Styela clava: one gene and its partner. The protein of the gene in region 1 interacts with the protein of each later gene in a pairwise test. Links are inferred from orthologs where the notes say so. Each region holds a gene or a part of one and is shown on either strand. Other genes may lie near its edges.

Evidence for each region.
Region 2: the proteins of serine/threonine-protein phosphatase 4 catalytic subunit (region 1) and immunoglobulin-binding protein 1-like interact in binary tests that used the Caenorhabditis elegans proteins (3 or more experiments, as listed by UniProt). The link is inferred for Styela clava from reciprocal best matches to the Caenorhabditis elegans genes pph-4.1 and ppfr-4.

The regions. Positions count from the first base shown.
Region 1 is NC_135262.1:727,975-741,554, reverse strand, and holds serine/threonine-protein phosphatase 4 catalytic subunit, read left to right. Parts: upstream 1-7,666; 5' UTR 7,667-7,747; coding exon 7,748-8,671; 3' UTR 8,672-10,378; downstream 10,379-13,580. Other genes in the region: uncharacterized protein LOC120332814, read left to right, coding at 953-2,617; sodium channel and clathrin linker 1-like, read left to right, coding at 10,526-10,633, 11,115-11,273, 11,651-11,732, 12,426-12,546, 12,830-13,001. UniProt on the Caenorhabditis elegans protein: Protein phosphatase which plays an essential role in meiosis and in early embryonic mitosis.
Region 2 is NC_135262.1:4,192,247-4,204,890, reverse strand, and holds immunoglobulin-binding protein 1-like, read right to left. Parts: upstream 5,793-12,644; coding exon 4,770-5,792; 3' UTR 2,747-4,769; downstream 1-2,746. Other genes in the region: uncharacterized protein LOC120332522, read right to left, coding at 132-1,582, 2,635-2,728; TM2 domain-containing protein 2-like, read right to left, coding at 5,798-6,346; uncharacterized protein LOC120332508, read left to right, coding at 6,969-7,023, 8,786-8,830, 9,940-10,066, 10,415-10,491, 11,282-11,422, 12,564-12,644. UniProt on the Caenorhabditis elegans protein: Probable regulatory subunit of serine/threonine-protein phosphatase PP4 which may play a role in meiosis and embryonic mitosis.

The DNA of each region.
Region 1 (13,580 bases):
ATCAGCATAACAGTAAAATGATTGATAAATACAAATAAATAAATAAATACTGATTATCAAATCAGTAAACCATTTTCGTTTGTAGGAATGAGATTCAAATTTGAAGATGACTTAAACCAGTAATATTTTTACATGATTTAGAAACAACAAATTCTGAAATTATATCAATGTCTGAATGTTACATGCGGGTGTAAGGGATTGGGGCTTAAGCTAATCTCCATAACTGGAGAGTTTATAAGATGTTTCAGATATCACAAATCAGTGGAAGCTTGCTTCAGTGCTTAGAGCCTTCTTTGCAGTGAAAAAAGATTATACAAATATAAGGACAACTGTTGTTGAAACTGTCTATCAAAATGTTTATTTCATGTTAGAACCAATGGTAGGAAGTTTCTTGTCTTTATCAGAGTTCAACAGCCGGAAGTTTGAAACATTTGTATAATTTTTGTTTGTTTATTTCTGGCCCAAGCCTTGTTACTTATCGATCTTAAGATTGGTGAGTATGTTGATAGGTATTTGTCTGTCTGTCTGTTAGATACACACGATATCTCACGAAAGCGAGGTTGAATCTGCTCCAAATTTTGCATGTGCATCCATCATAGCTCGGATCAAAATCCTATTGATTTTCGATGAATTATGTCGTATAATTGGTAAGTTATTTATTAATTAGTGATGGGACACACGGTGTCACTATGGAGTGAGAGCGCTGTTTTGAGGGATCCCCTAACCTTCGATCGATAAGTCTTCGGTTATATCTCGTTTTAATAATAGGTTTGTGATTTTTTGTGTGTGTGTGTGAGCGGGAACATGATATTTCACATGTTTCCAACTTTTTACAGGTTTCGCTTTCTCTCAAGAATTCTCCATTTTTATTAGTGTAGGCCTATATATTATGGTGTTTTCAAAATAAACTATCTATCTATCAAAGTCTAAAAGTGAAACGACCATCTTAAAAATGGATCCAAAACTTGTTGAACTTGCTCTTGAATGCTTCCGAAACAAGCCAAGGGTTAAAATTAGAAAATTGAATATTTCTGGAAATGATTTTATTCAAGTAAAAAATGATTCTACAAGTGACAAAAATTATGTTCAAGTCAATGTAACACAATCACAGAAAGGGAAAGATGTTAAAATTGAGAAGCAAAAGAAGGGGCAAAATTCTGGTACAGGAGGGAGTAATGATAATGTGGCAACACTGACCGTATCTAATGGTAACAGGAATCAAAAAACAACAAAAAAGATAACGAACGAAGAAAGAGAATCTGTTCTTGTAGGAAATGAATCAGAACATGGTTGCGAAGTTTGTGGCAAAATTTACGAGACAGAATGCAGCTTAAGGAAGCATTCATGGACACACACGAAAGGAAAACCATATTCGTGTGATATATGTGGCGCCAAAGTTACAACTAAGAACAGCTTAAGAAAACATATGCGAATCATGCACTCAGAGATAAGAGTAAAATGTGATTTATGTGATAAGGAATACAAAGAGATATCTACGTTGAAAGCTCACAAACGAGCTGTGCATGAAAACAATAAAAAGCATAAATGTACCATTTGTGACAAGACATTTCTCTTTCTAAGTGCTTTGAAAGTCCATATGGACACTCACTCAAACCTGCGTAAGTATAAGTGCCACATTGAGGGGTGCAATAAAGCTTACTTAATGAAAATAGCACTTTCTCACCATCTACTGGTTCATTATAACATTCGCCGATTTGTTTGTGATATTTGCGGAAAGAACTTCATTATTAATGCACATTTGAAACTCCATATGAGAGTACATAGCGGAGAAAAACCATACAAATGTAAATATTGTGGGAGAGCTTTTGCATATAAAGCATTTCTCGTTAACCATACACGCGTACACACAGGTGAGCGTCCTTTTAAATGTAAGGATTGTGGCATGGATTTCAAATATGCAATAGCATATACATACCATAAAAGAAAAAATCACCCAAGTGAAACACAGCCAACATTTGCCTGTTTGATTTGCTCTAAATCTTTTCGGGACGAATCATCTCTAGCACGACATATGTTAGTTCACACGAATGAAACTCCTCACAAATGTGAGACATGTGGACGCGGTTTTAAACTAGAACAAAACTTAAAACGACATTACATTGTTCACACAGGAGAAAAACGATACAAATGCACGATCTGTGAAGCAGAGTATGGGTATCCAAACTCGTTAAAACAACACATAATTGGCGTACATTTGGGAAAAAGAGACTATAAGTGTGAAATATGTGCGAAAACTTTTGCTCGCAGTCAAACACTTGCTAGTCACCTATATATGCACAAAGGCGAAAAGAAATTTCCATGCAAAAAATGCGGCCGTAAGTTTCGATCCAAAATCATGGTAGCTGTTCATATGCGAACTCACACAAAAGAAAAACCATTTGAATGTGACATATGTGGGGACAGATTCGCTCATTCAAGCAGTCGTGATATGCATTTGAGACTGCATACAGGTGAAAGACATTACAAATGTAAAAAATGTCCTGAGTCATTTATGCACAGATATCAACTCTTGAAACACAATGGCTCCCAATGCAGATTCAAAGTTCTTCCAAATGAAAACGATCCAAGGATTGTGGCGCTAAGTTATGTCAAGTGATGAGAAATTGATTGTTGTAAACTGCTTGTCTGAGGAAGTCTAACTTTGGTCAGACGAAACGTTACAGAAGTACATTTGTGTTAGTGTGCAGCTGGACTTTTAATTGGATAGTCATGTTTATTCCGGTGACAGCATCCTTGCAGTATACACATATCCACTAGCATCAGTATTATTAACCTGGTGCTTTTATTGAAAGATGCCATGGGCGAAGAGATATGGCCAATGCTGTACAATCTACGTTCCGAATACCTGCTAGAATGTTATTACCAGAGTCAAATATGGCACAATATTAGCTGATACCAAAGGGATGAAAGAAATTAAAGGGTTCGAAGGTGCCATGAGCTAGTAATTGTCATCTTGCTTTTGCATGTTAACGATCATCTCTTAATCTTACTGTGTAGGAATGGAAAAAGATAAAAAAAAATTGTAGTAGTAACGCCATTAGTATCTGAGAACTAAAACATTGTTCAGAGCAAAAACAAAATAGCAGCCTCATGGCTGCTTATCTGAGGCCTTCTTCGGGGTAATAACATAGACACTATCATTGGAGTCTAGAGCTGGCCGTTGCTGCCACAGCCAAACTCAAATTTTGAAATCAGCATTATTTTGATGTGTTTGTATTCAGTGATGCGTATATAAATGACATGATGTCGCTAATAGGCTATCTAATTTTGGAAGAATCATATGGCTGTTCCTGTTGTCAATTTATTGTGGTGTTGTTTTCCCATGATTGTGTGATTTAGAGATAATTTTTTTATGAGATTGCTATATTTGCTGCTATATTACAGCATGTCGCTCACTGGATGACTCACTGAGTCTTTCGCGATCCCATGTTAATTGCTATGAATCAATGTTTCGTTTTTTTAGTTTACTGTGTTTTTCTTTTGCTTTATATTGAATCTTGCATGATGAAAAGTAAATATCGGAATCTGATGTTATAGCTAAAATATACCTCAAGGAATTTGTTGAGTTTTGGCAAGAGGCGCATTGTTTTCCACTTTCTTTTTTATAAAACCGTAAATTTTGTATTTGAAATGTAACTTTCATGCTACACTCACATCTGATTCAATACTCCCGAATTTTAATAAAATGTTTGGTTCTGATTGATCTATATTACCGGTACAAAAAAAATTTTTGCATTTTCATCTTTTTTGCTAGATTTCCTGTTAAGTTTTGACACGTACATTGAGAAAGAAATTTTTTTTTCAAGGTTTTCCCAAAATCGGGTTTTTGTCATATTAAACAGCCTAAAACTCAAAACATAGTTTGGTGCTGTTTTTTTAGTGTTTTTGATATTCCAGAGACATGGTTCTTTGTATTGCACCTATGGATCGCTTTGTTATTATGGGTTCCATTACATTTGAACCCACGACAATTGCACCTGCATACTATTGCACCTATGGAAATTACACCTTCGGATATAATTTCACACAATAGCGCTTATGAAAGTGGCCGCATTTTATGCCAGACTCTCTATTGTTCTCAGTGCAAACTATGATAAACAACTCAAGTTTAAACAAAGGTTTTCTACATTTATCTTTTACAAATCTTTTCTCATGTCATGGCCCCATCCAACGTTGGTTTCTGGCAAGTTTATATCCCGAACAAATCTTTACGTGTTTCGTGAGACTTAGTGTAAAAACATATCAATTCAGCGACCCATACCCTATCTCCATCTTTTCACACTGGAACCTGGGATATGGACGTGCCATAAACTGACTATTGTACATATCACCGTTGTGCCTTACCTATTTGTCTTGTGTATTTTACTAGAGTGTTATTTGTATATTTCATGTCTGTTGTCCTAGTATAACGCAGCAGTCCTAAACTGCTGTTATCATTGTTAGGGGTACATGTCGCACATCTGTGTCTTAGGCCAGGAAGGTCTTGAACATGTATCTCGTCTCTGTTTTACTGTTTAATTATTATGCAGATACTGTTACATTTTTGAGGCAAATAAACATACATACATACATATTTGAACCCATACTAACCCTAACCCATGGATTTAGCTCCCGCATATAGATTGAACCCGTGGATATACTGGTGCGAATGTATGGGTTCAAATGTGCTGTCACTTTATTATGTTGTTGTTATACAAAAAAAATATTCCAGCTATTGAACCAACTTTTCAATGGTAAAAGCTTTTACTTTTATTTTGTGTAAAACTGTCATTAGTTTCAACTCTTTGAGTGTTTTTGATTTGTTTTTCGTGTAAAAAATCGTTAAGTAGCAATACAAACCCATTTTAATTTAATCTGTGCACAACTGGAACTGCCTCAATAATTTAATGTTCAACTTCTTTATTACTGTCGCTGCTCAATAATTGGTACTGTTTTACTGCGTCTCCTTGAACTCTGAATTGCAATTATTTCATATTTCTCCACTTACAATTTATGTTTTTATCATGGTAATTACTGGTTCACTAAATTCCAGAGCTCACTGTAAATACCTCAACTCCTGGCTTCTGCACCTAATCATGCAATTGATATGCTTTTAATCTAATTTGTATGTTATGGTTTTGTGATGTTGCCTAGTTTTTAGTTGTCACGTTTATTCTAGTCACCATACTTAAATTGCACTATTTTTGGACCTTTTCCAGTTTCCATGTCACTATATATTTTTTGATCAAGTTAGGAATTGTTGTTACTTGTCGATCTTAAGATCGGTAAGTATGTTGATAGGTGTTTGTCTGTTAGATACACGCTATATCTCACGAAAGCGAGGATGAATCCGCTCCAAATTTTGCATATGCATTCATCATATCTCGGATCCAAAGCTTATCGATTTTGGATGAATTATGTCGTATAATTAGCGAGTTATTAATTAATTAGTGATGGGACACACATGGATGATAAGTCTTATCTTTATTTTTTGGAATGAAAAATTGAGTAGACAAAAATTCCCCCTCCTTGGAAAGTTACGTATGTAGAAGTGTTTAATGGAGTAATGACCAATCTTTTTGTAAGTCCACTCATTACTTATCGATCTTAAGATCGGTAAGTATATTGATAGGTATTTGTCTGTATGTATGTCTGTCTGTGTGTCTGTTAGATGCACGCGATATCTCACGAAAGCGAGATTGAATCTGCTCCAGATTTTGCATGTGCATTCATCTTATCTCGGACCAGAAGCCTATTGATTTTGGGCGAATTATGTCGTATAATTAGCGAGTTATCAATCAATTATTGATATAGTGATCTAGATTTTTGTAAAGCGAGAGAATTTTGAAACCCGCCGAGTGTGTGTGTGCGATGCGCAGTGCGCAAGTTACAAGAGCGGATGAATCGAAACTGCAGTTTCTGTTTCGGGGGATCCCCTAACTATAGATCGATAAGTCTTCGGTTTCCAACCGATATTCTCGTTTTTATTTTATCGATATCCATCTTTTTCGTGACACTGGTATTTTTTCTGTATAAATCATTGTTCGTAGGTACAGTTGTAATAAATATTGAAAAAGGTATGTGTGCACCATGATCTTTATGTGCAACTGCTGAGGTGGAGTTTCAGTGTTGGGATTTACATATTTATCCCGGGGGAGAGAAAAGCTGATAAGACGGCTTAATCATGTGGCGAACCACGGCCTCTCATCCGGTCACCAGTCCAGGTCGGGTATGGGATTAGTTAGCCAGTTATTTGTTTTCGGAAGCATGGAATTGATGGTGGACGAAGCCTTAAACAACCAGTGGTTACGTGAACCACCCTAAGGCGGCATGGAGTCCAGCAATCCTCTCGCACATGATCATCCCCACATGGGATTCGAACCCACGAAAGGTAATCAGAGATGCAGTGGCCGGCGTATTCCTAACGCTTAGCACAATGCGCCAAACCGCCGATTGGTTCTGACGGGTAATGATTTGCACGCGTGTTCCAATGAACGAGATAGGAAGGCTCAAATATAGCAGCGCCACAAGCGCGCATCTACACCTATGGGAGGGAAAACGATAAGCAGCGAGATTGCTGAAGTGTCGACGAGAGGGAGAGATTTCTTATTTCGTCAACTTATAAAATAGTCATCAATTAAATAGCAGCAGCAATAAAATTGTTTTTGCAAGGACATGAATTTACGAAAGTTATAAAGAATGTCCATGATTAATACAGGTCAGTAAATTAATGGGTTTTATAGTGCTCGAATGGACAATGACCGGTGACCGCACTGACGCTTGAATAAATCTTGAAGTTCTAACCCTGCATTTGCGTATTCTCGATTTTCCCATTGTCTTGCACGTTTGAATTGTATTTATTTTTGCATTAATCTTTCTAGATTGGTCTCTTCTTTTAAAGGGCGAAAAATTTCGGTCTTCAAAGGTATAGCAACTTGTTGCATATCAGTGGATGCTTGTACAGGGCCTTATTCGAAGCGAAAAATGTCGCAAAATTTTTTGTGTAAGCGTAAATATATACTACTACGTATAAGTACAAATACCAAATGCATAACAAGTCAGAAAACTGCTGTAATTTGGAATGATGTTTTGAAACGCACAAGCACGCGTTCACCCACCGACAGTTCACTTACTCGAAAACAAATTTTGGTAACTTTACTAAATTGCTGTCTTGTTTATTTGTCTTGTCTGTTGCAATTTTATTTTTGTACCATAGTTCAGAAAAATATATATCTTATTCGAATCTCGCATCAATCTTTGTTCACCGAGGTTTGGCATTGCACCATCGTAGTTCTATATGATTTTTAGTGGCTATTAGTGGCTATCATTGATGGCATGTAACATTTCTCAGAGGCAAGTCCACTCTATATTAGAGGAAGATGCGCCTGGACAAGCTTTGAGTAATTTTTAAAAAAAAAACTAAACAAACTAAATTAATTTGTAATGAACATTTCGCATAGGAAAATATTTTTTTTCTATAACTTTGAAATTTCTGATTCCTGAATGAAAAACGCTTTTGTAATCTTTTTCATAATTTATTCTTTAATAAAATTAAACAAATTAAATTAATTTGAATAAATATTTCGATTCTTATTCTTAAAAAACGTTTTTTTTTTACTAAATCCAAAATCACTGATGCGTGAGAAAAAAGCTTTTGTTCCTTTTCGTAATCCTTCTTGGATTTTCGTTTGAGCGTTGACGTTCGTTTTTTGTGTGAAACAGAATTCGGTTTGTTAAATTTGTGAAAATGTCTGATACTAGCGACCTAGATAGACAAATAGAGCAACTTCAAAGATGTGAAATTATTAAAGAAAGCGAAGTAAAAGCTTTATGCGCCAAAGCGCGTGAAATTTTAGTCGAAGAAAGCAATGTTCAGAGGGTGGATTCACCGGTAACCGTGTGCGGAGATATTCACGGTCAGTTTTATGATTTAAAAGAGCTTTTTAAAGTCGGTGGGGATGTTCCGAACACGAATTATCTATTTCTCGGTGATTTTGTGGACAGAGGTTTCTACAGTGTTGAGACGTTTTTACTTCTATTGGCTTTGAAAGTCCGTTATCCAGATCGTATTGTCCTGATTCGAGGAAACCATGAAAGTCGACAGATCACCCAGGTTTATGGTTTTTACGATGAATGTTTAAGAAAATATGGATCGATCACTGTTTGGCGCTATTGTACTGAAATTTTCGACTACTTAAGTTTGTCCGCGATTATCGATGGAAAAATCTTTTGCGTCCATGGTGGGTTATCTCCATCAATCCAAACTCTAGACCAGATTCGTACTATCGATCGCAAACAAGAAGTACCACACGATGGCCCAATGTGCGATCTACTATGGTCAGATCCAGAAGACACCACCGGGTGGGGTGTCAGTCCACGAGGAGCTGGATATCTTTTCGGAAGCGACGTTGTTTCGTTGTTTAATCAATCCAATGATATTGATATGATCTGCCGTGCTCATCAGCTCGTAATGGAAGGGTATAAATGGCATTTCAACGAAACCGTTTTAACTGTCTGGTCGGCTCCGAACTACTGCTACCGCTGCGGAAACGTAGCTGCCATTTTGGAACTTGACGAACATTTACAGAAAGAATTTACAATATTCGAAGCCGCACCACAAGAGGCAAGAGGAGTTCCGATGAAGAAACCGCAAGCGGACTATTTTCTCTGAGATAATATTCTATTGTTTTATTCACTTGTTCAAAACTTTTATCTCCTCAAGTCTCTGATTGAGTACATGGTGAATCTAATGGAATAATAACTTATGGGTTTGTTCTTGATTGCTATTCTGAGTCTCTGTATTCTATTCTGCTGTTGTTCCACAATAACTTCTAGTGGGTGTAGCATAACAATTTTTTCAAATGACATTCCTAAAGCCCACCTGACCACGTCTTTCAAAAATTACATCACTACGACTTCACAGTGACGTAATAAGGTCCACCAAAATATACGGATGGTCGTCCAAAACGCGTTAACTATTACCTGAAGTCTAGCAATCTATTTTGCTCATCTCCGAATATGATAGAGATCACTGGTGTTAGTGAGTTCTTTATAGTCAGCGCCGATGCCATTTTGGAACTAATTTTTTAGTGACATAATTTTTGAATGACATAGTCAGGTAGGGGTTAGGAATAACAGATGCAAAAATGGTTATGACAAGCCCACCAGAAGTACTTGTGATACTAAACTACACCGACCCACTATTCTGTTGTCGCCTGATCAGTTTCCTTTTATATTCTTCAACTCCCTAATTGAGAAGAAGGTTATCCATGCGGATTTGTGTCCTCATTTATTTTAGTATACCATGGTATTCTTATTTTACAGCTGCTTTGAATTGTACTTCTTAATAAACTGTGTGTCACAATAAATTTCAATGAGTCTCGAAATATCAATCCATCATTTTTTGAAAGGCACTTCTTATCTGCCGAGTTTGAAATGTGAAATCTAGTTTGTTGAATTAACGTTGCGAAAATTATAATTGTTTCTGTATCTAAGAGGCTATTTTTCTGTTTTATTCATGTGTTCAGAACTTTTTTAACTCCATTTCTCAGTGAAATCTCTGAATTATATGAACTCGTGGTCCAGGGGTGTGCGACATTTTTTGTTGGTGATGGGAAGTTAAAGTTTAACATTCCATATCCACCACCTCCTCCGGGATGTAAGAAATCTCTATCAGTACTGAAATAACCCAAAAGTATTCCCTTCATACAAAGGGTACTTTTGTGGACAGTTTTATCCTAGGATAAGTATGTTTCAATGGCTGTGTGCACATGGCCGTGTTCAGAGAGAAAGACATGGAAATCGCTGCGCAAAATGAAGTCTCGAGTGGGCCCTTTTCATGGAGGCCATAAATGTCTTTTCATTCCTTGAAACTTTATTTTCAATTCTTACATTATTTTTTTGCTTGGAGAATTCTTTTCATGCTTGAGTGTTTTTGTGCTGTCATTTCAATTTGCTTTAGTATTGTTGACCTCACAATTTTCTTTTAGGAAATTTATTGTCGCTTCATAATCGCAGTGCTTATTTCTTTGTGATGTGATAATATAATTTTATGCTATGCCCTCAATTTGTAATGTTCATATCAATCAGACCTATTTGAACAGTTTAACATGACTGACCTGGCAGCTATAACCCTAAAGGGCGGGACCCCCAACTTATAATAATACTCGAAGGCTTTGTAATGATCAACTGCAGAGGTTTTTACAGCATAATATTGAATAATTTATGATCTGTACCAGGACCATATTCTGCAGTATTCTGTTCACTCAACCGTGAAGGATTCTGCCACAATTTCCCCTAATTTAGGCCTGTTATTTTATGTATTATAAAGTGTAATTTATGCCAATTGAAAATTTGTATGTTTTCTTTTAAATATAGATGTCTAAAATGAGAAGTTTAAAAGCTAGCTAGACTATTTCGAAAGGAAATTTTTGACAACTGGAACACTCAATTATTACCGGTAATCAAAATATTGCAAAAGGGAACACTTTGATTTTTCCGATTGGAATATTTCGAAAAGTGCAGAATGACATCACAGGTGACCGACCCCGTTGAAGAACTTGTCTTTTTACGGCAAATGGTCCAGAGATTGAACTCTGCTCTTGCAAAACACCAAGGAACAGACCATAGCCTGGTAGGTCGCCTGACAGAAACACCATACATCAAATTGTGGAATTGTAGGGTCAGAATAGTGGTGGGCAAACTGGGGCCAAATGCGGCCCACAAACAATTATTTGTAGCTCTTGAACGACCGCACTGTTAATGCATAACAACAAAAATTATCGTACGGTGTTTGTTTTATAGTAATTAGCATAAACGAAAACACATGTCAGTTGTTTGTCCATTAAATGTTGAACGTTCCTATCATTAGTTTGAAGTAACATAGGAATACGCCTTGGAAAATACTCTTGGACATAATTGTTCTTTGCCTGTTTTGTTACACTGGCAGTAGATTTGAGAGCTTACAAGTGATGACTGAGATTTATTTTGGAAGGACAAGTTTCAAAAGAATATGATTTAAATTTAGAGATGGATTTCCAATATGAACAATATTAAAATTTTTCAATACGTCTCGAACATCTTTATGCGAATCTGATCCCTTATTTTCTTTACAGTTAGATGCAGAAGCGTCCATTGACCCTCCGGCACCTTGGCTGACGAACCCACAACATTTGGCTCCGTTACTGAACGAATATGACACTCATCTAACACATCTCGTGTCCCAAGTTACGAAGATAAAAGATGAAAACCATGAAAGGAAATTGCGATTGCAGGTGTGTGTTTTTATATGTGTACGTGTCTTCATGTGTGTTTGCATGGGAGTGTGTTATGTAGGTTTTATATTGAGCATGCTTACATTTTTACTGGGACTTAATTAGGTATGTCCAGAATCAATTGATTATTTCAAAACATTCAAAATTGGTTATATTCAGTTTACTTTTTGACTTTATGAAGAATTTAGAATATTTTCATTGGAAATATTTTAGCATTTATTTTTTTACAATTGACGGAAAATTAGTTAAATCCTCAAGGAATAAAATAGATAATACTAATTAGAACAATGTTACCTCTACCATTCTGCTTTAACAAATTTGATTTCTACGACTTTCTACGGTTTTGGCCATCCCTGATAACTTCAGTTATTTTTCAGTCTGTCTCCGAAGAAAATCAACGTCTTCATGCAGAATTGCAGGAAATTGTTCAACAACAAATGAAAGAAGCTGATTATACAGGTGAGCATGGAGATCTAGTGTAGTTGTTTTTAAATCCCTCTGCCACTCACTTCTGCTCTTCAAAAAAAAAATATCTAGTTATGCTTTGCTCGTCATGTTTAATAATGAAGACAACCGAAAGCAAAATAATAAAAGCATTGCAGTCAAAAAATCAAATGAATCACAGTAAATTTCTTCAAATCAATGAGGTTGTAGTAAATGGTCGTAAGTTATTTAACGCGAAATATTTAATACAAAAAAAACCAACAAACGAAAGCAAGAATAATTATACCATCACTGTAAATTTACTTTAACAAATAGATGTAGGCACTGCACTGGTAATGATATTTAGCAAAGATCATTGCTCCTAGCTCCCATAAATCTACTCTGTGGCCCCTAGAGAGGGGTTGGGGCCAGTTTGAGTAACCTTCCTCTTGAGCAGAGCTGGGTAATTATCTTTGCTATGGGTCTACATCGCAAATTAAAAATGCAGTCGTGGGCTGGACTAAGTAAAGTCAAAGTTTGTGGTACACAACTTGCACAGGCCTTCCTTATAGTGTATGAAGAATGCACAAATTCAATTTTTGCCGTCTTTTCAGATCACCCACAAGGCCAGGGCAATGAAATGCTTGAGAAAGAGTTGGGCCAGTTTGGGTAACCCTGCACTAAAGCCCATGAAGATTAAAAAAAAAATTTTTTTTTGCATTTGTTCAGATCACCCGCAAGGCCAAGGTAATGAAATGCTTGAGAATCTTCAACGACAGGTAGAATTGGCGAGTGCTGAGAAGGAGGACGCTGTGAGAATGTGTCGTGATACAATGCAACAGCTAGACAAGTATGGTTTTTATTAAATATGTTCGCCACAAACTTTTGAGACAAAGTAAAAAAAAAATATTGATTGATATGTTGTTTAAGAGGTTCCCGAACTAATAAAACTCACAGCATACTACTTTTTTATGATTACAAATCGCAAGAAATTGAAAACAAATTCACTTTATTAAGATTGATTCACAATAAAAATTGGTTTTATAATACATGCAAACTGGTTTAGGGCGATACATGAGCTTGCTTTGTGCAAAATTTCACACAAATAATTTTTATTCTATCATTTCCTACAGACTCCGACACCAACGACAAACAGAGTCGGCATCAGTGAAATCTTGTTTGCAATCTTACGATGACACGAGGAAACTCAACGAGCAACTTCAGGATGCAAACCTTAATTTGCAGATGTCATTGGATGCGATCAGGAATGAGAATCAGGCTTTAACGAGTGCACTACATCAGCAGGTAGGTGGTTATTTAATCGGCGTAATCCAGAGTGAAGAGTGAAATGCTCTTGAGATTACCCTGCATGGTTTCGATTCCTGTGGAAGATGATAATGTGCAAGACGTTTGCTGGACTTCTCACACTGTCATAGGGTGGTGCACGTAATCGCTAATTTGTTATGGCTTATGACCCATTTCCAAATATATTCCTTATTCAAAGGCATTGCTTTATAATAGCGGTGTGCAACAGGCAACAACCTGGATCTCCAAGTTATTTAGTGTTGGCTGTGTGGTCACACTCAGATTTATCTCCATCAACCATAAAATCCCAATTCGACAGTTTATGCTTTAAAAGGTACTCCCATGAGTAACAAACATAGATAGCGTTTTTTGCTCTTGTCGCTGCGTTGAATCTTTCGTTGTTTTGCCCGGTGTCTTTATTACTGGAAGTCTAAGCTATAGCCGCATTCTCTCTTCTTGCTCTCCCGCTAAATTTTTTGTGTGGTCCAGCTAGATGTCTGAAAAATGACGACACTGACGAAAAATGTTGCACACCCCTGTTTTAGAATGTATTCAGAGTGATTGATATTCATTTTGACC
Region 2 (12,644 bases), about 3.5 Mb from region 1:
TCTGAATAAAATTATGGCCTAACCTATGGGCAGGGGTATGTTCACTTGGCTAACACAGACAGTTCCCGAACTCGTAATAGATCTAAAATTGGAATCAAATTATGGTACCAGGTACACATACTATGGGAGAATTATTCAGCCAATACATAGCTGGGAAGCAAAATTTTTTTTTCACCCAACAAGCCATAAGTGTTTTGTAACACATGAGTCAAATTTTCAGATGGCACACCGCCTTTTTCACCGCTCACCATTTTGCCAATCAAATTAAAATAGGTTTTCGAAATATTCCACAATAAATTTTTCTCTATGATTAAACATTTATGCATTAGTTGCTCACAAGTTTTTTTTGAAAGTTCTCTTGATGTTTGGTAAGTTAACACAGATGCTGGGTACGGTAGGTCGTCATGGAAACAAGCAAAATTATCCAAGCGTAAACTTGATAACAAATCTGCATTAAAATTCAAATCATTTTTTTCTGTTTTATCATTAGAAACCAGAATTTTCAGGTTTGAAAAATATCTTACTTTTTCCCACAAATGGTAGTATACTTCCTCTACTATTTTAACAGATTCTGATCTCAAATAAGTATTTTGCTGTTCGCTCCATCTTAGCTTAGAGTTTCTACCAAGTGGCTGGTATTCGCTTTGATATTTTAAAATATTTATTGCATTAGTGGAAACTGCTATACACTTGTCCAATTCTGAATTTACCGCTTCTAATGTCCGCAGAGTTACAGTGCCATCGAGTGTTGTGTCACCTGCCGAGGACGCCATATTTTTAACAAAATTTGTTTCTTCCTTACATTCAGTTTCATGTAAGGCATCACACGCTTGATCGCAAAGTTTTTCATGAGTCGATAACAATTTTCTGACCTTGTGAGGTAGTTCAAGGTCATTAGCAAAGTCTCTGTATTTTAATTTGACCTTGGTAAAGTCTATTTCAACATTTTTCACGACTGGTGGATTATTATGCTCTGATAAGGGCGGAGAAATTTTTTTATCTTCTGTTTTAGAAATATTTTCATCATTTGTTGTTACTTGTGTAGTTTGCACCTTTATTTGCTTCAATAATTCCAAACTTTTTGAAACGGTTGTAGATTTATTCGAGTTTGGCTTAACTGTAGGTTTATTTTGTCCTCTTTGGTATCCAGCTGATCTGATTCTGCCTCTTGTGGGTTTTGTATAAAATGGAGGATTGGAAATTTTTGACGATGCTTTATTTGGCAAAATTTTAGAGTTTCTGCTTAAATTTGGCACGATTTTCGTTTTATTTGAGGTACTAGATAATCTTTCACTCTTTATTAAGCCTTTTTTGGGATCGGATTTTTGAGGTAGAGCACTATTCACTTTTTTTGTTTCATTTTCTTTAATTTTTTGCGTCTTCGTTGCAGGTTTTTCGTTGACTTTTTCATGCAATAATCTAGCCTTTTGTAATATGTCTTCTACGTTTTCAAGTTCTTTATCAAAGTTTGCAACTTTTGATATTTTTTCTTCGTTTTCTTTCCGTTGTTCAATTGATTGTTTGTAACCATCTTGTGCGGATTTAGGAGCAGAACTGAAAGGCCATGGTTGAGAAATCTCATCTGAAATAGAATATCTTGGTTAAACATCTGAAATTCATCAACATTTAACAAAAAATTACAACAGACAATTTTTTGAGGCGGCGTGAAGCTAATTAAAAATAAAATTATTTGTTTAATTTGATCCTCTGTTTGGGTAAAACAATTTCTCGCCTTACTAACTGTTATTTGTAGCTAGTTATTTTTGAGGTGGGGCACGAGATTTGAGAAATTCTAAAAAGGGGCGTGGCTCAAAAAGTTTGAGAACCACTGTGCTATAGAGACGCTACATGCTATCGAACCACTCAATAAATATTCTGCGTGGGTTCTTAGTTCGAATCTTGTGAGAAGTCATTGTGTGTGGAGACATCGGACATGATAGTCGAGTGGTGGGAGTGTTAGACTTAGGTAACTATGAAGACATGGTTCTGTTCGAATCTAAGGCTCATCACCTCACCCAAGGGGTAGGCAATGTTGAATCGGTAAAGTTCCAGTCATCCAAATGATAGCAGGCTGGTTCCGAGCGAGTCCTTTTGCCTAATTTAATACAGGGCTTTATTAACGCCTTGTATATTCAACATTACTTTGGTCAAGCATACCAGGGGTGTGCAACCTTCCATACAGGGGGTCAGATACAAATAAGTGGGTGAAACTGCATGCCGCACCATTATTTATTTTATAGGCTTTCTAGTAGTTGCAAGCATAAAAATTTTGGTTATTGATCTCATGACATGTGTGTTCGCTTCGCTAGCTGTTAGAGCAGTGTAATGTCATACAAATAGATAATAAATTGGACTCAGGGTATAGGATTTGCAACGCGAAGGGATTGACATTAATCGCATGTACCAGATAAACTATATATTAAAAACTCATTTGGCGGGATGCAGGTTGCACACCCCACCACTACACTTCCGTTCATGAATCTGAAACAAATAACTGGCTAATTAATGCTCCACCCAACATTGAACTGGATAGGAGGCTGTGGTATATCTTATGAATAAGCAGTCTTCTCTCCCCCCCTGGAAAGAAAATTTTCATCCCATCCTAATAAAGAACAAAAAACAATGTAACCTCACCTAAAACATATGCTTGGTATTCCGCACGTTCTTTGTATTCTTTTACTTTGTTATATAAATGTTCAATCCATCGTTGTAATTCATCCAGTTCCATCAATTATCAGATAACTAGTTATGTCTATGGAACATAAAAAATCAGCAGTACAGTACAGTTGAAAGAATTACAAGGAATAATGATTTAGTGTTTCCACAGAATTGATAACGAAACATTACGGGAACTTAGGTCAATGATAATATACAAAATAGTTTGTCTTAATGAAGTGGACACGGTCGAACTTGGGAGCACGGTGGAGCATAGTGGTTGGATTGGCATCGAAGATAACAGACGTCTGGTTCATAAACTTGAAGATTTCAACCTTTTGAATAATAGTAGCTCCCAACGTATCGTTAGATATCAGTTCAGTGGCTGCTTGGTGGAAGAGCATTGCGAAAAAAACGACTAAATCTGTACAAAACAACGTGTCAAGTTCATTGGAAATGGTATTCAAACAAAATATATTCCAGAGTATTCTACTGTGAGTTTTGATAGAAAAGAACCTAACGAGACTATCGGTCAGAGACGATCGAAAGTTAGGGGATCCCCAAAACAGCGCTCTTACTCCATAGTGACGCCCTGTGTCCCATCACTAATTAGTTAATAACTCGCTAATTATACGATATAATTCGTCCAAAATCAATAGGCTTTTGGTCCGAGATATGATGAATGCACATGCAAAATCTGGAGCAGATTCAATCTCGCTTTGGTGAGATATCGCGTGCATCTAACAGACAGACAAATAGCCATCAACATACTTACCGATTAAAATCGATAAGTAATAAACAGATGTCATTATTACAAGGTGACTCAAAAAAACAAAATCCAGGTCATTTGAAACATTCTAGAGAAAACATAACTTTTGTGCAAAATGTCTTAGATTACTGGAACTTCTGGGTACAATCATACAGAAATAAAATTTCAAGTGTTTTAATTAATGAATATTCTTCATTTTCGTAGATAAATAAGGTTCAGTTTTTGTGGCACTATGTAAATTACGATAAATCATAGTTTTGATTGTCTGAAGTTTTAAAATACACAATTTCAATAAAGTCTGAAATTACATTGAACTAAATATATTGAACAAAATTATCTGATGCAATTTAAAATTGTTACCGTAATATTTCATTGAAAAATATTGACAACTGAAATTTTTTTGTATGAAGAAAGTATACAGAGCACTGACCGGTATACATTTATAGTAATTCCATGTATCTGAAGAACACAAACATTTTTTAATTCATTTTAAATGTATCAAAATTTTGTATTTAAGGTGAACAATATCTGATTTTCCCAAATTTACTTGATTTGCTCAAAATATACAAGTTCATGTATATTTGAATAGCAGGATTTTTCACTAATTTACGTGAGCCACCGCCGTGAGAATCTGAAAGTCTGCTGTTTTTTGCAGGCAGTGTCGAACCATGAAGATTCTCTCAAAATATAGTAGGTCTTGGCATAACAGTGGCCGCTTGTACGAAGCCTTGTTCAAAGTCGTATAAAAACGCCATAAAAAATACTCAAAACCTAGCTATGCAACGAAATTTTAACTGTTATAAGTCCAATGAAATAATGTTGAAATGCATGCCAATTTGATGCCCAAACTTTGATATCTAATGAAGATATAGCCAAAAGAACAGATCTGTAGTTCCCAACCTGGGGCCAACAGCTCCCCAAGGGGGCCACAAAGCAGTTAGTGACGGGCCACAATGATAGGCGCGAAACTGATTTTCCTTTTAAAAAATTCCCCGTTCTTCCTAGTTTCATTACTTGATAAGGTTATTTTGCAGGGTGTTTTCTGAACATAATGGGATTTGAAATCCACCAATCAAAATAACACTATAAATATCACTGGAAGGATAAACAGAGAGGCCATGAGTGCTAAAACCATCCGTAAGGGGGCCACAAAACATAGGTTAGTAAGCACTAGTATAGATCAATCATTTTTTCTTTTGATTATAGTGAAATTTGCTTAAATCAATAACACTCTCAGGACATTTATCTCTGAGCGAAGTTACATGGGGTCACTAGAGTGTGAGGAGCTGTTGTGACAATAACAAATTACAGCGCAAAACAGTTTATAAGTTCATGTAATTGTACTTCATCCCATGTTCATTCTATTACCATCCCCTCTTCTGTGAGTATCTTTCCAATCATCGAATTCTCTTTGCTTTTTCAACTTGTCGTCACTTTCATCATCCGATGAGTTTTCTCCATTTTGTTGCCCATTTGCCCCCGAACTTGGTCCTATGCCTTGATCTGGTAGAGTACCAGCGGCTACGTGGGACTCAAAATACTGTTCTACAGTCATAGAAGGTAAACTGGGGTATCCAGCCCCGAATACAGCAGCTTGTGCTTTGTCTCTTGTGAGAATGAAGTTTTGTGGCTTTTTATTGTTTCGTGAAGTCGATGGGGCAGGAACGGGAGGATTATTTTTATCCGGCATATTTTCCCAAAAACTTAAAATTTCCTTTTCTTGTGAAATATTTCCGATATTTTCAATAGAAATATCAATCCATTTTTCAATTACCGCTAACCAGTAATTACGTAAAGTTTCGTCATCAACATTGCTTGATTCTGAGTCATTTTCTGGCAACGATGATTTCAGATGTTTCAACCTTGATTCAAGCTCTTTGTTTCTTTTAAATTTCGCTATTTTTGCTTCTCTTTCAGCATTCATTGACGCTAAATCGCGAGGATTATTTTTAACAGTTTTTGAATCGTCTACATTTAAGCATCTTTCTATGTCTTTTATGGGGCCAATATTATAATCCTTACACCTATCAAGAAATTGGAAAATGAGTTTCTCAGCGGAAATTAATAAAGATTTTCTTTCTTCTCTGGCGGTTTGTACGAGAGATGTTAAAACGCCGCAAATAGAGGGTGAAAGTAAATACTTTAGATTTATTGATGATATTTCACCGACTTCTTCATTAGTGCTAAACAATCGAAGCTCATCAGTTCGACTTTGAACAATTTGTGATAACTTAATCCCTCGTTTTATTGAAATCTGATTCGCTTCTGAGTTTGTGGGCTCGGAAGTGTTTTCAATGTCGGTGTGAATTTGAAAAGCCTCATAAAAAAGTTCTGAAAGTGACTTTTGTTCATCTGGATCAACAGACATTTTTGTTAATAATATTCACACCAATTTGATTTATCGTTCGGTAAAAGTTTTCCAGAAAGGAGTAAAATAATATCAACAAACCACCAAATACCAACACCACCTAGTGTCAAAAGTTTGGCAACTGCAGTTCCTGAATGTCCCAGGCAAAATCGATCAACCCCTAAACATCCAAGGAAAACCGAATAAAGTAATGTGCTTACAAAACAGTACCCTGTATATCTTATACAAGGAATTCCTGACTTTTTGAAAGTGCGATCACCAGCACAGTCGATTGTATCGTCAAGTACGCGGCAGTAAACGCTAGTAGTTTTGACTTCTGGATATCTTTGTCTTCCAAAATCTTGAACCTCGCAGCCAACGTCGTCTTCTACGTCTGTTTTATTCTCTGGAAAAACCGAGGGCAAGTCGCACTCAATAAATTCGTCGGGGAGAAGATAGCACTGTATTAACGGCGAATATGGGTTTACCGGTTCTTCTGAAGAATTATTAGACAGGCAGAATGTCAAAGCGCTTATAAAGATAGTCAACAAGAACAACTTCCCAGAATTTAGCATTTTCCGATCAAGAACAAAATCGATGATGAAAACGCAAAACACCAGCGCCGTATCGCAAAATTCAACGAAAATTTGCGACACTCGACTTCCACCTAGCGTCTGGTAAATATCAGCATTTCATGAATAACTTGTCCGCAAGTTGTCGCTAGTAACACTTATGATAGTGCACGGAGTCAATGTGTTCAATACCTAGCATAAATTCTTTGTTGCCTATCTTTTCATAAATACTTTTAATACCCCAATAAAATAAGCAAATATTTCCTTACAAATTTTTGTTTTATAAATATAGTTTTTCTTTGTATGGATTAAATGAAAATTTGCATTTCAATGAAGAACATAAACTCACATCACATCTGCAATGATTTATGACGTCACTAATCAGCTGATATCACTTATCAATGCGACATCATTTAACTTACGTTTACGTTTATCGAAACAGCAATGTAATAGGAGTATATTCAATATTGTAATATTTATAAATTTAATCCAAAAGCGAAGTACACTGAGACTCTTTCTTCACTGTAAACTTTGGGGAACTCCTCTTCCCTCTGACGTCATATGAGTCAGAACAGAGAAAGAAAGAATTGACAGTCAAAGGCAAAGGCTCGTTTATGGGAAAATCATGAGGGATGTATCAACACTTCATATTTTATTATTTATGATATTACTCGGAAAAAGTAAGTTTTTATGTTGTTTATTAGAAAAGTCAAATTTGTTTTCTCTTAATTTTGATGTAGGAAAGGGAAACTACAGACTGGCTATGGTCTGACAGACCAGTGCATTTGGGTCTCATGTAGTTTCGTACCTAACATACCGTACTTCTAGTCGGCGTAGCATGACAATTTTTTCACGTATCAATCCTAACACCCACCTGACTACACCATTCTAGAATTACGTCATTACGACGTCACAGTGACATAGTAGAACCCTTCAACCTATAGGAACTGCCACCCAAGACGCGCAAACGAGCACCCGAAATCAGAGGCGCAGTTCTTACCACTTCATGGCAGCTCCTGCCACGAACGAACCGCGGCAGCTCTTGCCATGGTTTTATAGCGCTATTCAGTATTCAGTAATCAGTATTAACGGTATATTCACAAATTAATGTACCAGATTTTAATTGATCATGTGGAATTATATCTACTTAAACCCTAACCCTAACCCCAAATCAATCAAAACTGTATCCATAAGAAAAACGTTCCAACTTACCCAATATTTGTCACAATAATAGACAGCCCTGTCTTTACGGCCCACCTGCCGCGGTTACGGCAGCAAAATTTTACCTGCCATTGATTTTCAATTTGCTGCCGCGGTAACGGCAGCTCGACATTGGTTTGTGGCAGCTAAAAAGTCAGTTGCCATGAGTTTGGCCGTAGCGGCCATGGTATGGAAATACCGCCATGGTTTTGCGGCAGCTGCAGATGCCACAGAATACTTAAAACTGCACTTGCGAAATCAAACAGTTATTTCTCTCGTTTTCTCGTCTCAATGATTCCAATAGTAGAGAGATCGATAACATCAGTCAGTTCTTTATCGTCGGCGCCAGTGCCATTTTGGTCAATCGTGTGTATATTTGGCAAGCTCTATGACATGATTGTGATGTCGTAGTGACATAATTTTTGGATGGCGTAGTCATATGGGGGGTTGGGATTGACATATCAAAAAACCATATGTCAGTACGGCACACTATCTAAATTCCAAGAGTTTCCCTCCATTTAGTTCAATAAAACAAACACTCCCAGGTGTCTCACAAATGAGGGGCGTCTGGCACGACGGCATATGAGTCATATTGCGCCATGCTTGTCTCAATAATAATCTTGATTAATCGTGGCCATCATGTGACCAAAATTGCTGTTTTTTCCTGAAAACTTTCAAATACCACGGTAAAAAAATTTTTCCTTAGGTAAATCGGGTTATTTTTTCCAGAAGAATTTAATGATGACATTTTTAGATTGCGCTTCTTCGTAGTATTTTGCGCAACTTCATTATACTGTATTTTTACTGATATTGAGGGACAACAATGTCCAGACGTCTCCCAAAGGAGGGGTGACTGATCATCGGTAAAATGGGTTTCTCTGAAACGAGACAATGTCGCTCGATCTGTATAGTGTGCCGTACTGTCTGTTGCGATAAGCTTGGCCCTGCTCTGGCTCTCTGTCTGGCTTCTAATTATGGCTATATCAAGATATCCTTATAAATTGGTGCTGTAGAGTCCCACATTGCATCTACTTTTGTTGCCAAATATTCCTACTGATTCATCAAGCTTCGAAGTTATGAAATTTAACTATGATAAACAATTACATGTTGCACTTAGACCCATACACCTGGAGCCAATTAACTGCTAGTTATTTAGTCATGCTATTGAAAATTTCTTTTTCACAATAAATGATAATAACTCTTGATATTTGTTTTTAATCCTTTCAATATCTTACTTTACAGAAGCTTTATCACAGTGGATTTCCGAACCATCACTTCCAAATTATCGTAAGTATGGCGCTCAATGTGGTTTAAGAACATGCAGTAGATGATACAAATGTGCTGAATGCTCCATCAGGCTTTTAACTTGTTAATGTCTTGGTTATATGTTAAGTTCTACACCCACGCTATTATTGAATAAGGGTTCAACTGAATATGCTTATATATCTTTATTACACCAGCATAACACACGACATAAGACGCATACATCAACAACAAACTATCGAGTGGCGCAACTGCGACACGTTAACACTAGACAGATAGCACAATCAATTACTGGGGACGTTATTCCACAAGGCATTATTAGTCATCATCAACATCCCTCTTTGTTTAAGATCAATTTCACAAATTAATTTCAAATATGAAATATTCACCTTTACCTATTACATAATTCATGACTATTACAATTAAGGCACATTAATGAGCAATACTATTTAACACTCAAATTCAAGTTAAAGTCATTACTAAGTTACATAGTCTTTCATCCAAATAGAAGGTTTACGATTTGGACGAGGTCTGGATGGGCGTTTTGAATTTTAGTTTTTGTTTGGGAATTTAAGGTTTAATCGATTTGGTTGATCGACCAAACATAGCTTTGATGGACTGCTGTTCAAGTCTTGACGAGGCGTATTTCTTATTTCTAGAAGAGCTAGCGATTGATCTTCATTCGTGTTTGCAGTCCTTTTCAGCATATTCTTGGAAATTCATATTCACCAGCAATTTGGCACCTCATGCTAAGCGTTAAAAATTCGCCACAGCACCTCTGATTATCCTGCGTGGGTTCGCTGGTTCTAATCCCATGCGGGAATAGTTACCAGCGAGAGTATTGCTGGACTCCTCGCTGCTGTAGGGTGGTTCCTGTAACCGGACGAGGCGCCGTGGTTCACCATATGATTGAGCTGTTTCATCGGCTTCCCTCTTTCTCGGGATAAATGAATAAATCTTATTCTTCCTATTTCATGCACACAAACTAAGAATAATATATTTATTGACCTTTTTTTGTTACATCTTAAATCATTTAAAATCTTTCACAACGGATTTGATTATCTGCCAAATCTATACCGAGATAAATATTTACACGCCGATCTTTATACAAATTCCTAATTTTCTATTTTTAGCTGTTTGTTCATCTACAAAGACATTAACAGATATAAGCGGGGAATATAATTTCAAGGATGATATTTACAGATCTAGAGATTTCTGTTTATATATAGTTAGTGAAGATCACTCTACATTATCTGTAAGGTGAGCAATTAGTGTAATTTATATCATCGCACAAGAATGAAAAAATGTTCTCTGGAAGATGTTTGAACAAAGCTTTTTCACTTCTGAGTACTGCTCTATGTAGATCATATGCTACTTCCGTAGTGTGTGTACCAGGTTAGGGCTAGGCCATAATTTTATTCCGATTTCCCTTATTTTAGTTCTATTACGAGTTTGGGGACTGTCTGTGTTAGCCGAGTGAATATATCCCTTGCTCATAGGTTTCATCCTTTTATACAACTTGATGTAAAGTAGGCGAACAGCATTAGTTACCTTCATATCGGTACACACACTTCTGGAGCATATATTGAAGTTAATATTTTGTTTCAGATTTCTGGATTTTAATTTTGGTTTCGAAGATGAGAATGGAAACTGCTCCAACTTTCTGGAGATTGGAACACCGAAAGGTACAAAGATCTTATTGTATGATAGATCTTAATAGAAGGGTCGTTGAAACAAATTATTACAAATGTTGTTAAGAGGAGAATATATTTCTCATAAGGTTATTTTCTCATACGTTTTTGTTATGTGATGTGTCTTAACAAGTAGGTGTTTTGTCACATACGATTGGTTGATAGTCGATCAGTTTTGACGCAAACTCACAACTGATTTTTACCGACTTAATATATCATAGCAGGTTGATATAAAGCAAGTGCTTACAAATGTATTTGTAAAACGTTCTATTAGTAACTAACTAACTAGTAATTTTTAGTTTTTGGTTCATTGTAAATTAAATGCAAACAGAATAAAAAATTATTATTTAATTCTCAATTTAATAAATTATTATTCATAAGTACTGCTTGCAACATGAAAAAAATCCAATATTGATTATTTTTGACTGTTTTATTATAAGACAACACAGACACCTGAATCTACCGGTAATTATCAAAACGAAGTTGTTTTTCTCATAATATATAGGGTGTTCTACCGTGTTCATAAAGTCTTGAAATTTTTTAAAAATGCAAAGTGAATTTATCGATACCATATATTGTTTATTTTTTTCACAGATGCATTAAATGAAGTAAAAATAATTACTGATTAAATAACAATAAACCTGGTTGAGATATATTGAGAACTGACTTAATAACAAAATTGAAATTCTAAAGAAACTTCATTTATACCTCCAATAGTGAAATTCCTAAATCATAATTTAGTATATTTATCATTGAAAAATTTCAAAAAATATTCTATCAACAGATTCTCCTCAACCTCAGCAGAAAAGATACTGCGGCTCAAAGTCACCTCCACCCTTTGTATCAAGCTCTGATATTGTATGGATTTGGGTTCACAGAGAATTCATGTTAAGACAGTCTAATATTGAACTGATATACGATGCAGGTAATTGTATAGACTGTTAGTGTTTTATCTATATTTATCTATCCCTGAATGAGAATAATTGTCTATACAATATAAAAGCTATACTCTTAACAAAAAAAATAGTTACGGAACTATACTTCTCGATCATTCTAATTAGATCATTAGGTGTCGCCACTCGATATCAAGCTTTGGTTAGCGACTTCCCTTCCCCAGTCAGAATTTATGATTTTCTTTTTTCTTCGTATTTTGTGTAAAACTGACTTTTTTACTGCTGGAAAAAATGAATCTGACTTGACTATAAGCAAACCAACAAAATGTTGTCTTTTCTATGTCTTGCTTGAATACTTTCACAATAGAGATGATTTTTTTATGGCTGATTCTGATTATTTTTAAGTCTATCTTGGCCTAAATTTGAGTGTGTTTTTCTATATTGATATCAATTTTTTTTCGATAACTACTTAGTGATATTATTTTGAAATTAGACTCCTTATTTCTGAGTGGGTGTGCATTATCTTGCTTCCAGGAAATTTTTTAAAAAACAAATTTGTGTGGCTCAAAATGCATGCAAAATTTTTATGATTATATCTCAATATCATCAAGGTTATTGTACAGTAGAGACTGATTTAGGATTGTACAATAATATTAAAAAACATATTTATGCGGCTCAAAATGCATGCGAAATTTTCATGATTATCATTATCACAATATCAACGGATGGGTCCTCTTGTACAATGGAGATAGATTTAGGATTGTGCAATAATATTCGATTATTTGATTCGATTCAAGAAAAATATTCAATTTGATTTGAATCAAAATATATTCGATTTGGACAGCCATAATTATCATGAATATCACACTGCTGGTTATCTTGCATGGGTTCGCATTTTCTCAGATACATGGGCTTGATGGTTGAAGTCTCAACTGACCAGCGGTTACGTAAGCCACCCTATAGTGATGAGGAGTCCAGAAGTCAGTTAGCATATAACTATCCTTAGTGAGATTCGATCCTGCTAACCCATGCAGGGTAATCAAAGTGTAATTGCAAGCATATTACTAACGATTGGCATGATTTACCACCACCGAGCTATAGTATTCTTATATGTTTTATTAGCTTTTCCAACTCGAAGTCTCATCCAGCCATATTTTATTCTATTTTTAACAGCACCAAGATGTAACGGAGACCTCGTCATCAATTCCTACACGTTTTTAACGTCACCAAAATATCCAACCTCGGTATTTAATT